Linked DNA regions of Nothobranchius furzeri. The protein of the gene in region 1 purifies or fractionates together with the protein of each later gene. This does not show direct contact. Links are inferred from orthologs where the notes say so. Each region holds a gene or a part of one and is shown on either strand. Other genes may lie near its edges.

What was found.
Region 2: the proteins of ubxn2a (region 1) and ppp1r11 purify together in Homo sapiens (affinity purification with mass spectrometry; 3 studies listed by BioGRID and IntAct, counting the BioPlex papers as one, with this or other methods). This does not show direct contact. The link is inferred for Nothobranchius furzeri from reciprocal best matches to the Homo sapiens genes UBXN2A and PPP1R11.

The regions. Positions count from the first base shown.
Region 1 is NC_091742.1:21,872,122-21,876,512, reverse strand, and holds the start of ubxn2a (UBX domain-containing protein 2A), read left to right. Parts: upstream 1-1,348; 5' UTR 1,349-1,872; coding exon of another isoform or gene 1,873-1,889; intron 1,890-2,156; 5' UTR 2,157-2,233; intron 2,234-4,391. UniProt on the Homo sapiens protein: Acts to repress the ubiquitination and subsequent endoplasmic reticulum-associated degradation of CHRNA3 by the STUB1-VCP-UBXN2A complex in cortical neurons.
Region 2 is NC_091751.1:25,909,011-25,913,445, forward strand, and holds the start of ppp1r11 (E3 ubiquitin-protein ligase PPP1R11), read left to right. Parts: upstream 1-1,441; 5' UTR 1,442-1,646; coding exon 1,647-1,724; intron 1,725-1,799; exon of another isoform or gene 1,800-1,815; intron 1,816-2,348; coding exon 2,349-2,457; intron 2,458-4,388; coding exon 4,389-4,435. Other genes in the region: vars2 (valine--tRNA ligase, mitochondrial), read right to left, coding at 695-886. UniProt on the Homo sapiens protein: Atypical E3 ubiquitin-protein ligase which ubiquitinates TLR2 at 'Lys-754' leading to its degradation by the proteasome.

The DNA.
Region 1 (4,391 bases):
GTTCTGCCGCCTCGTCTCTGGAAGGCTGCCTTTCCGTGTCTTGGCCCTTCACTCGGTCAGATTATCAATGGGAGCCTCAGCACAGGTGTGGTCCCAGCTGCTTTGAAAGCAGTTGTTGTTCGGCCGACCCTGACGAAACCTGGTGCTGATGTCTCTGTGATCACAAATTACAGGCCTATCTCTACCCTGCCTTTTACATCAAAACTGCTTGAGAAAGTCGTTTATCAGCAGCTGGTCTCACATTTAGCTGACTCTGATCTGTTTGAGGTTTTCCAATCAGGGTTCAGGTCTGGCCATAGCACAGAGTCTGCTCTACTGAGTGTCCTAAATGACATCTATCTATCACTAGATCAAGGTACATCTGTGGTGCTTCTGTTGTTAGACCTGACGGCAGCCTTCGGCACAGTTGACCACACGATTCTACTGGATCGCTTAGAACGATGGGTTGGGATCAAAGGGTCAGCTCTGGATTGGTTTAGATCGTATCTCCACAACAGGACATTCTGTGTTAAACTGGGTGATGTTTTTTTCTTCTTGGGAGGGGCTCCGTTGGGGGGTCCCGCAGGGATCGATCCTTGGTCCTCTTTTGTTTACCATTTATCTGCTTCCTCTGGGGTCAGTCATTCGTAAACATGGCCTATCATTCCATCTCTATGCTGACGATTGCCAGATTTACTCTCCATTGTGTCAGGAGAAAGGTCACTCTATCCAGTCCTTTGTGTCCTGCATTAACGAGGTGAAGTCTTGGCTAATGGCCAACGATCTGCATCTGAATGAGGGAAAGACAGAGTTCATTGTTTTTCACCCCAACAGCAGGAATGTGGGTCGTTATGTTGATCTTGGCCCTCTTTCTCCCTACTCAAAACCAGTCGTCACCAGTTTGGGGGTGAAAGTTGATGCTGGACTTAAATTTGATGTCCACATCAACTCTGTGATCCGGTCCAGTTTCTTTCACCTGAGACGCCTTGCAAAAATCACGCATATGCTGTCAAGAGCCCACCTGGAGCGGGTACTGCATGCATTTGTAATTTCTAGGCATGATTACTGCAGCTCTCTCTATGCAGGGTTGTGTCAGTCATCACTGTGTCGCCTACAGGTTGTGCAGAACAGCACAGCCAGGTTCTTGACTGGGACCAGGAAACGGGACCACATCAGTCCGGTTCTGGCCTCCCTGCACTGGCTTCCGGTTTGTTATCGTTCACACTTCAAACTCCTCGTCTTTGTCTACAATTTCTTCCAGAGTAATGCTCCCCCCTATCTAGCCACACTCCTGAACAGATATTCCCCATCACGCGCTCTGCGCTCCTCTGACCAAGGCCTGCTCGCTGTCCCTCGTTCGAGGTGTCGTACTCGCGGGGACCGGGGTTTCTCAGTCCTAGCACCGTCACTCTGGAACCAGTTGCCACCCTCAGTTAGGCTGTCCTCATCTCTGCCAGTCTTTAAGAGTCGCCTAAAAACCCACCTCCTCCGCTTGGCGTTTCCTGAACGTGTTTAATTTGGCCATCTTTAATGTTGATTTTATTTCCCTGTTTTCATTGGTTCACTCAATCCATTGTTTTACCAATTTGTCCTCTACTAGAATGTTTTACCTTTTTTGTAATTTGTAATCTGAACTGCTTTTATTTTTGATTTATTCACCATATTTTACTTTGTCATGTACCATGTTCAGCGCCTTGGGCTACCCGACAGGGTTGCGGAAGGCGCTATATAAATAAAGCTTTGATTGATTGATTAAACAGAGTTCGCGACACGTTTTACGACACCAGCTGCAGACATACGGCACTGTTATGTCACTTACCCAGCTAGCTTGATCCAGCAGAAAAGCCGCTGCCTGAAACTTCAGGCTTCAGACGTGCAGCTCAAGATGAGTCGATGAGACTGGCATTTTGGTATTTCACCTTCCGCTTGACACTCGCATGCGAATACGCCTATTGTGTGTCTATATCTGTCTAAAAAATCCACATGTTTTGTTTAGCTTGTGTGTCGTTTGAGCGTTTATGGATTCAAATGAGCTATAACGCCACAGGCTGCCTGCTTTCTGCCTTTATTATGGAAACGTCACTGTTAAACCAAGAGACATTTAATACATTTTGTTAGCTAATTCAGACAAAGAGGAGAGGACCAGTGTTTATCAGTTTAACTCCTGACAATTACAGTAATGAGGCTGGTCCAGAATACCTGGAGAGGATGCCCTTAAAGCTACAAGGCCCTGGCATTCACAGCATGAGTGCAGGTACCACTAAGCGCTTGAATTCTTCACCTCATTAAATGACTTCTTTAGATCAAATTATATAATAATCAGATAAGCTGCCTTGGCTGTTTGGTGAATCTAAACTACACATGCACCGATTGTGGTTTTGTGGACCAATACCACAGATTGTTGTTTGTACAGCTCTGACTGTTCAGGTGGTTCTGTCATCTAGTTAGGATGCCTCTTGTACACCTCCCAGGTGAGGTTTTCTGGGCACGTCCAAGCAGGAGGAGACCTAAAGGAAGATCCAGGAGACGCTGGAGGGACTATGTCTCTTGGCTGGCCAGAGAACACCTTGGGATTCCCCCAGAGGAGCTGGCCCAAGTGGCTGGGGAGAGGGAAGTCTGGGCCTCTTGCCTTAGTGACCCGTGACCAGACTCTGGATACGCGGAACAGGATGGATGGATGGATGGATGGAGTTCTGATTTATTGATTGGCCAACTCCAATGTATCTCAAAACTATTAACAATTTTTTTTCTGAATAATTTGAAAGTTCTGGTTTTTAACACAAGTAACAAGTACAGTAAAACAGCAGTAGCACACAAGATATCGCAGTAAATAGTTGAATTTTTAGTGAAGACAATTATTACACAGACTAGCAATAGTAATGTAAATAACGCACACGTCTTAAAAGATGATGACCGTTGTACTGGCATGTTACAGAGGGATAAGTTGCATATTAGAAGTGTCCGTTAGAGTCTAACAGCAGCAGGAAAGAAAGACCTGCAGTATCTCTCCTTCACAGCGAGGACGGATCAGTGTGTCGCTGAAGCTGCTCTCCAGAGCAGACAGAGCGTCATGTAGGCGGTGTGACTCGTGGTCCAGCATGGATCACGATTTTACATCAGGGCATCCGCGGGTCCTTAAAAAGTCTTAAAAAGTCTTAAATTAGCTTTTCCAAATTTAAGGCCTTAAAAATCTTTAAAAATGACAAATAATCCTTAAATACAGTTTCCAAAGGTCTTAAATTACTAAAGACCCAATAAACAAGATTCTTTTATTTCTATAAAAAATTTTGTGAATTTGTAGTTGGTGTTCGGCATTTTTTGTGTACGATGTTGCCGTAAGCGGAACCGTACACATTCAGTTGGTTGTGAAAGAGGGCTACTTTTAGATGAGCACATTAGCTGGTTAAGCTAGTGGGAGCTTGCGCCATGGGGAAGTGCAACAGTAATGGTAACTGGATGGCTAATCCCATGTTTCGCGACGTGGTTAGCACCGGTTCCAGGCAATAGCTGGAAATTATAGCTTAAATAAAATTTTTAAAAGTTGCTTAAATTTGGTCAAAGTGGTCTTAAGAAAGGTCTTAAAAAGTATTAAATTTGGCTCCCTTAAACCTGCAGATACCCTGTACATGGATTATCCTGCCCCCCCCCCCCCCCCCCCCATCCCGTATTGAGGAGTCTAGAGGACAACCCAGGACAGAGCTGGGCTGGACTTCCTGATCACCCTGTCCAGCTTCTTCCTCTCTCTCTCTCTCTGTAATGCTGCTCCTCCAACAGACCACACTGTACAGGATCGCTGATGCCACCACAGAGTCACTCGATAAGCTGATTTCAGTCAGCAGAGAGTTTTTATTGACATTTCGGTCTGTCCTTTTGATGGAATCTTTTGTCATCGAACTTTACAAACTTAAACCAACTCCTAATCTCATCACCCATTAGTACAAACGCTCGCTGTAGACACACGAGGAAAGATTTGGGGAAACGTTGCTCCCACAGGCTCGGCACACCTATAAATGTGCTTCGCAGGATTTCTGCTGAAAATGAGGAGGTGCGAACCACCAGTTTTCTTCCTATATTTGGTTTTACAAAGACTCGGCCATGTGGGCACAAAGAACCTGGGTCACCTGAGGAGAAAACACCCAAACAAGCCGAACTGTGTGGTCTAGTGCAGCCTCGTGAAGGAGAAACTTAACTAATCAAACCCCACCTACATCTGATAGAGTTGTTTTGGACAGTAAACGAAAGATTAAGTGCATCAAGAACAAAGCTGTTTACACAGGAAAAACCCCAACCACCTACAGCTCTCCTCTAGAGTTTCACAACCATTCACACCTTCAGACATGTGACCGAAATACTTGGAACAATGACGCTAACGACTCACAGGTCAGACCGGTGGGTCTGTGACTCGCATTCCT
Region 2 (4,435 bases), on another chromosome or scaffold:
TGAGCATCCATGACCCCAAGGACCTCATCTGGTCAACAGACATAACCCAACTTGTGAAGAGAACACATCACTGACTCAGGAGGAATAACCTGCAGAGTAAGGCGCTGGTGGTCTTCCACCTGACAACCATGGAGAGCATGCTCCAACACATAATACAGAATAATCTGAAGAAAAGGTACATGTATATACACATAGTCAGTATTCAAGTATTGTTGGGTTCTCTGCTGCTGTAGATAAAGGGGCTCTGCAGAGGATCATCAAATCTGCAGAGCAGCTCACCAGCCGTCATCATCACTCCCTGGAAGATCTCACCACCTCACACTGCATCAGCAGGGCCCATGACATCATCCATGACCACTCCCACCCCGGCCAACATCCATTTGAACTGCTGCCATCCAGTAGGCACTATAAAGTCTCAAAAGCAAGAGCCTGCAGACTGAGAGGCAGCATCTTCCCCAAACAGCAAATGAACCAAAAAAATCTCTTGAACAGTCGTCAGTGCAATAAATCCACTATTACTATAATAACCTAACTGTTGCATTCATTAAAGTCATATTTCTATGTATATATTTGTATTTCTACCTTTTTTCTTATATCTCATCTTGCATTTTTTAAATTTCTTAAGCCTCACACACATACTTTTCTGACTACTGTAAGCTCGTCAGGTTTTATTAGCAGGTCTGACCGGACTTACTGTGTGCGGGCTGGACAGGACGAGCTTCTCCCGGTCCCGTTTGCGCCTCCGCTTCTCCTCCTGAAGCCGGGCAGAGGGCTTTGTTTCTGGGAGGTTCGGCTGAGAGGAGACGGTGGTCGAAAATACGGAGGAGTTGTTGGAACAGCGTCTGGCTGTTCTGGTCCCTGAAAGCCTCCGAGCTGCCCTCCACATCCTGAGTTAAACACTACAATATATATACATAAAATATAGAGCTAAAATATATTTTTTGTTGTTTTTAGATATGTCTAAAATGGTAAAGTGCACAGTCCATTCATATCTGTTACGCCTAACTAAATTAAATAACTTTAGGGGTATTCAGGTTCTTACGACTTAATGCTATATAAACACCTCTCCGTTATATATACTTTTGAGCTGGTGCCATTGTAAGTCTGTTTATAATCTCAAGCGTTTGTTCTGTTTACCGACCTCACGGACATTGGAAACAAACGCTTGTCCGTCACAAAATAGGTTCCCCGCAAACATTTCCGCTGTCAAGTTGAACTCAAACACACACAGAACTGAAATATAAAGTAAATGTCTTGTTCTGTTTTAAGATCAGATAATCCACCACAGCCTTGTACAATAGATATTGCAAAAAAAGTTTAAAACACATCTGCAGTTAAATTAATGAGTCTAGAAATGAGCTCTCTACCTCGGACTTGCCTTGTACTTTTAGGATTTTGAAAACCATTAACTTCCGTTTAGAGTCGCGTTAGCGTGATTCACAATTTGCGACCAGTTCCTATTTATTGCAACTAATAATTTTAAGGACAATATTTGTTTGCTTTTTCAACAAAGCTTGTGAATTAACGATTTAGGGTCGGTTACTGACGCTTCCACAGATTCGTGTTGACGCGTCACAGACCCCCGACTCCACTGGTTCTGCGTCTGATTTCAAGGTAAAGGTAGCATTAGCCTAGCAGCTCCAGGGATGGCGGAGGTCCCCGGGACGTCGAGTGAAACCATAACGGAGACTGTCCAGACTGGCACTCCGCCGCCACCCCAACAGGTATACGCTATCGAACTGGTCGGTAAACACTTTAATTGATTTTAGGGTTAAACCAGTCCGGTGTTCAGGACCTACCGAGGCCGCGTCGCTAACAACCAATGTTTCATCTGCTGTCGTAATTGGATGTGATGTGTTGATTTTTGATTTAACCTGAATAATCAGCCTGTCATGTCTTAGCTGTTTGTATGGGTTGTTGCAATATTGTGGGCGTTAACAGAACTCGTGACAAGGACCATTTGGGTTTCAGAGATGAATTGTTCTTCAAAACCGAGACTAGGCTCGGATCATTTATCACCGACGGTGAACAAATACAACATAAAACAACTTTAGACTCTGCTATCCGACGTTTTTCAGCGAGACTCCATCAGTAGGCTAGATCTTGTAGATTAAAATGCGATTGCGTTGTCTGGCGACCCTTTTTTCGGTAGCATCACCGGTTGCTGTTAGCTACAGGAAGCCGTGTTGTTGACGCTCAGTGGTAGGTAGGGTGGTGATAATGAATGTCTTATACATGGTCTGTCATGGTTCTGTTGGTGGAGTGTGCTTGTAGCATTTGTGATGCCATGTCATGGTTTCTTTTATAAACACTCAGTACTGCTCCTGTTGACATCTGATGTTTCTCAGGAAGGACGAAGCCTAACCATCAAGCTGAGGAAGAGGAAGACTGAGAAGAAGGTGGAGTGGTCCAGTGACACTGTTGATAATGAGCACCTGGGGAGACGGTCCTCAAAGTGTGAGTTCACATATCTTCTCAGAAAATAGAGGACCATCGTCGGGTGGTCAGGATCGCTGGGTCAAAGGTCAAGGTGCTTTCTCAGGTTGAGAACTTCCATTTTCGTTATTTCCATGCAGGGTGGGGGGTGGGGGTGGCTGGTGCCTGGTGCCTATCTCCAGCTGTCTCTGGGCAAGCAGATGGGGTCAACCAACCTGACAGTCATGGTTATGGATTGTGGGAGGGAGTTGGAGTGCCTGTAGAGAACACACGTGTGCACAGGGAGAACATGCAAACTCCTTGCAGAGAAACCCCAGGCTGGGATGTGAACCCAGGACCTTCTTGCTGCAAGGCAACAGCGCTAACCACTGCACCACTGTGCAGCCCCAGGTTCAGAACTTAAACAATGAAATCAGAAATGGCTGAGACATCTTAAGGTGTCTGGTTAATCGCCCACAGCACTTGAGTCTTGGTTTAGTTTGTTGGTGTTTCATCTTCTTCTTTGGATCTGGGTTGCAGCCCAAGCAGAAAAGCCCTGATTGTCCTCACACCAGCATCCTCCACCAGTGGGAACAACGCCATGGCTAGCCTGGAGATATAATCCCTCCAGCATGTCCTGTGTCGACTGAGGGGCCTCCTGCAGGCAGAACGCTCCCAAAACATCTCCCTTGGGAGATGTCCAAGCGGCAGCCTGACAAATATCTGAAGCAGGTTAGCTGGTTCTTCTCCGTGTGGAGAAGCAGCGGTTACTTAACCCTCTCTCACAGGCTGAGCCCGGCTATTCTGCAAAGAATAGAAGAGACTTTATTGATCCCACAGTGGGAAAATTCACTTGTTACAGCAGCACCAACACTTAAGAGAATAATTAGAAGAAAAAGTAATATTATTGTAACCTTTGAGCACAAAAAAAATCACTAATAAAAATGAAGCTTTGGGTTCCAGAACTATGCAGCATGCTGTAAGGGACACATACTGAGCATTGCATTGATGTTATTGTGTATCAGGATAATGCCAGCTGCAGTTAAACTGAGAAGGAAAGTCATTTGAACAGCTTGTATGGTCTTGGTCTTTCTGTCATAACCGACAGCTCACGACCGCAGTGAGTTCAGAGCTTTGCTTTCTGGCTTAGCTCCTTTTCACCACAACAGATCGCTCTGTTGCTCCCCGAGATATTTTTACAGTGACCTAGGCAGAAGCAGCTAACCTAGTGTGTTGTTCTGCTGGTACTAGCAGCTGCTTCTGTCTGAACTGGATCCGTTGTTCTGCCCAGTTTTTCTCCTTCAACTACCAAACTAATCCAAACCTAAACATGTCAGACATCTCTGAATGTGCTTGAAAGGTGTTGCCATCATCATAAAAATCTTTTTATTTATAGAAAAACACAAATATTGGCACAAAATCTCCACTCGGGAAGTCAGAACACCTAATAAAATGGTGCAGTTTGGGCGTGTCTGGTCTACATGCTGGAACATCTGGAGCTGGTACCAGAGGACATGAGAAGAGTGACGCTGTTGCCGGGTAGTTTATGGAGGACGGTCAAACCATGAGTAAAGGTCATCAGACATGGAGGATGGCAGGGTTAAGATGGGACAGCGCCACCTTACCCCTCCTGAGACACAACTCTGGTACTGTTGACGTCACCTGTCCAACCCCCGACCATCTGCAGATACACCTGGTGGTGGTGACAACCCCAGTGGAGATCCAGGACCTGGTACTGACCTGCTGGACCTCCAGTTACAGCCTTGCTCTGTTCCGATGATGTCATCATCCCTGTGCAGGTTCATGATATTTGAATGGGCCCAGTCTGGTTTGCAGGCCGCTCTTCATCTGAGTCATGAATTGGTTTTAGATTTACTTTGGTTTGATGTTGTAACTAGAGCTGGTTTTGTGGAACCTCTGAATCCAGATGTTCTGGTTCTGTTCTGATCCTGGACCTGTGTGTTGATTTCCAGGCTGCTGTATTTATGAGAAGCCCAAACAGTTTGGAGAGTCCTCGTCT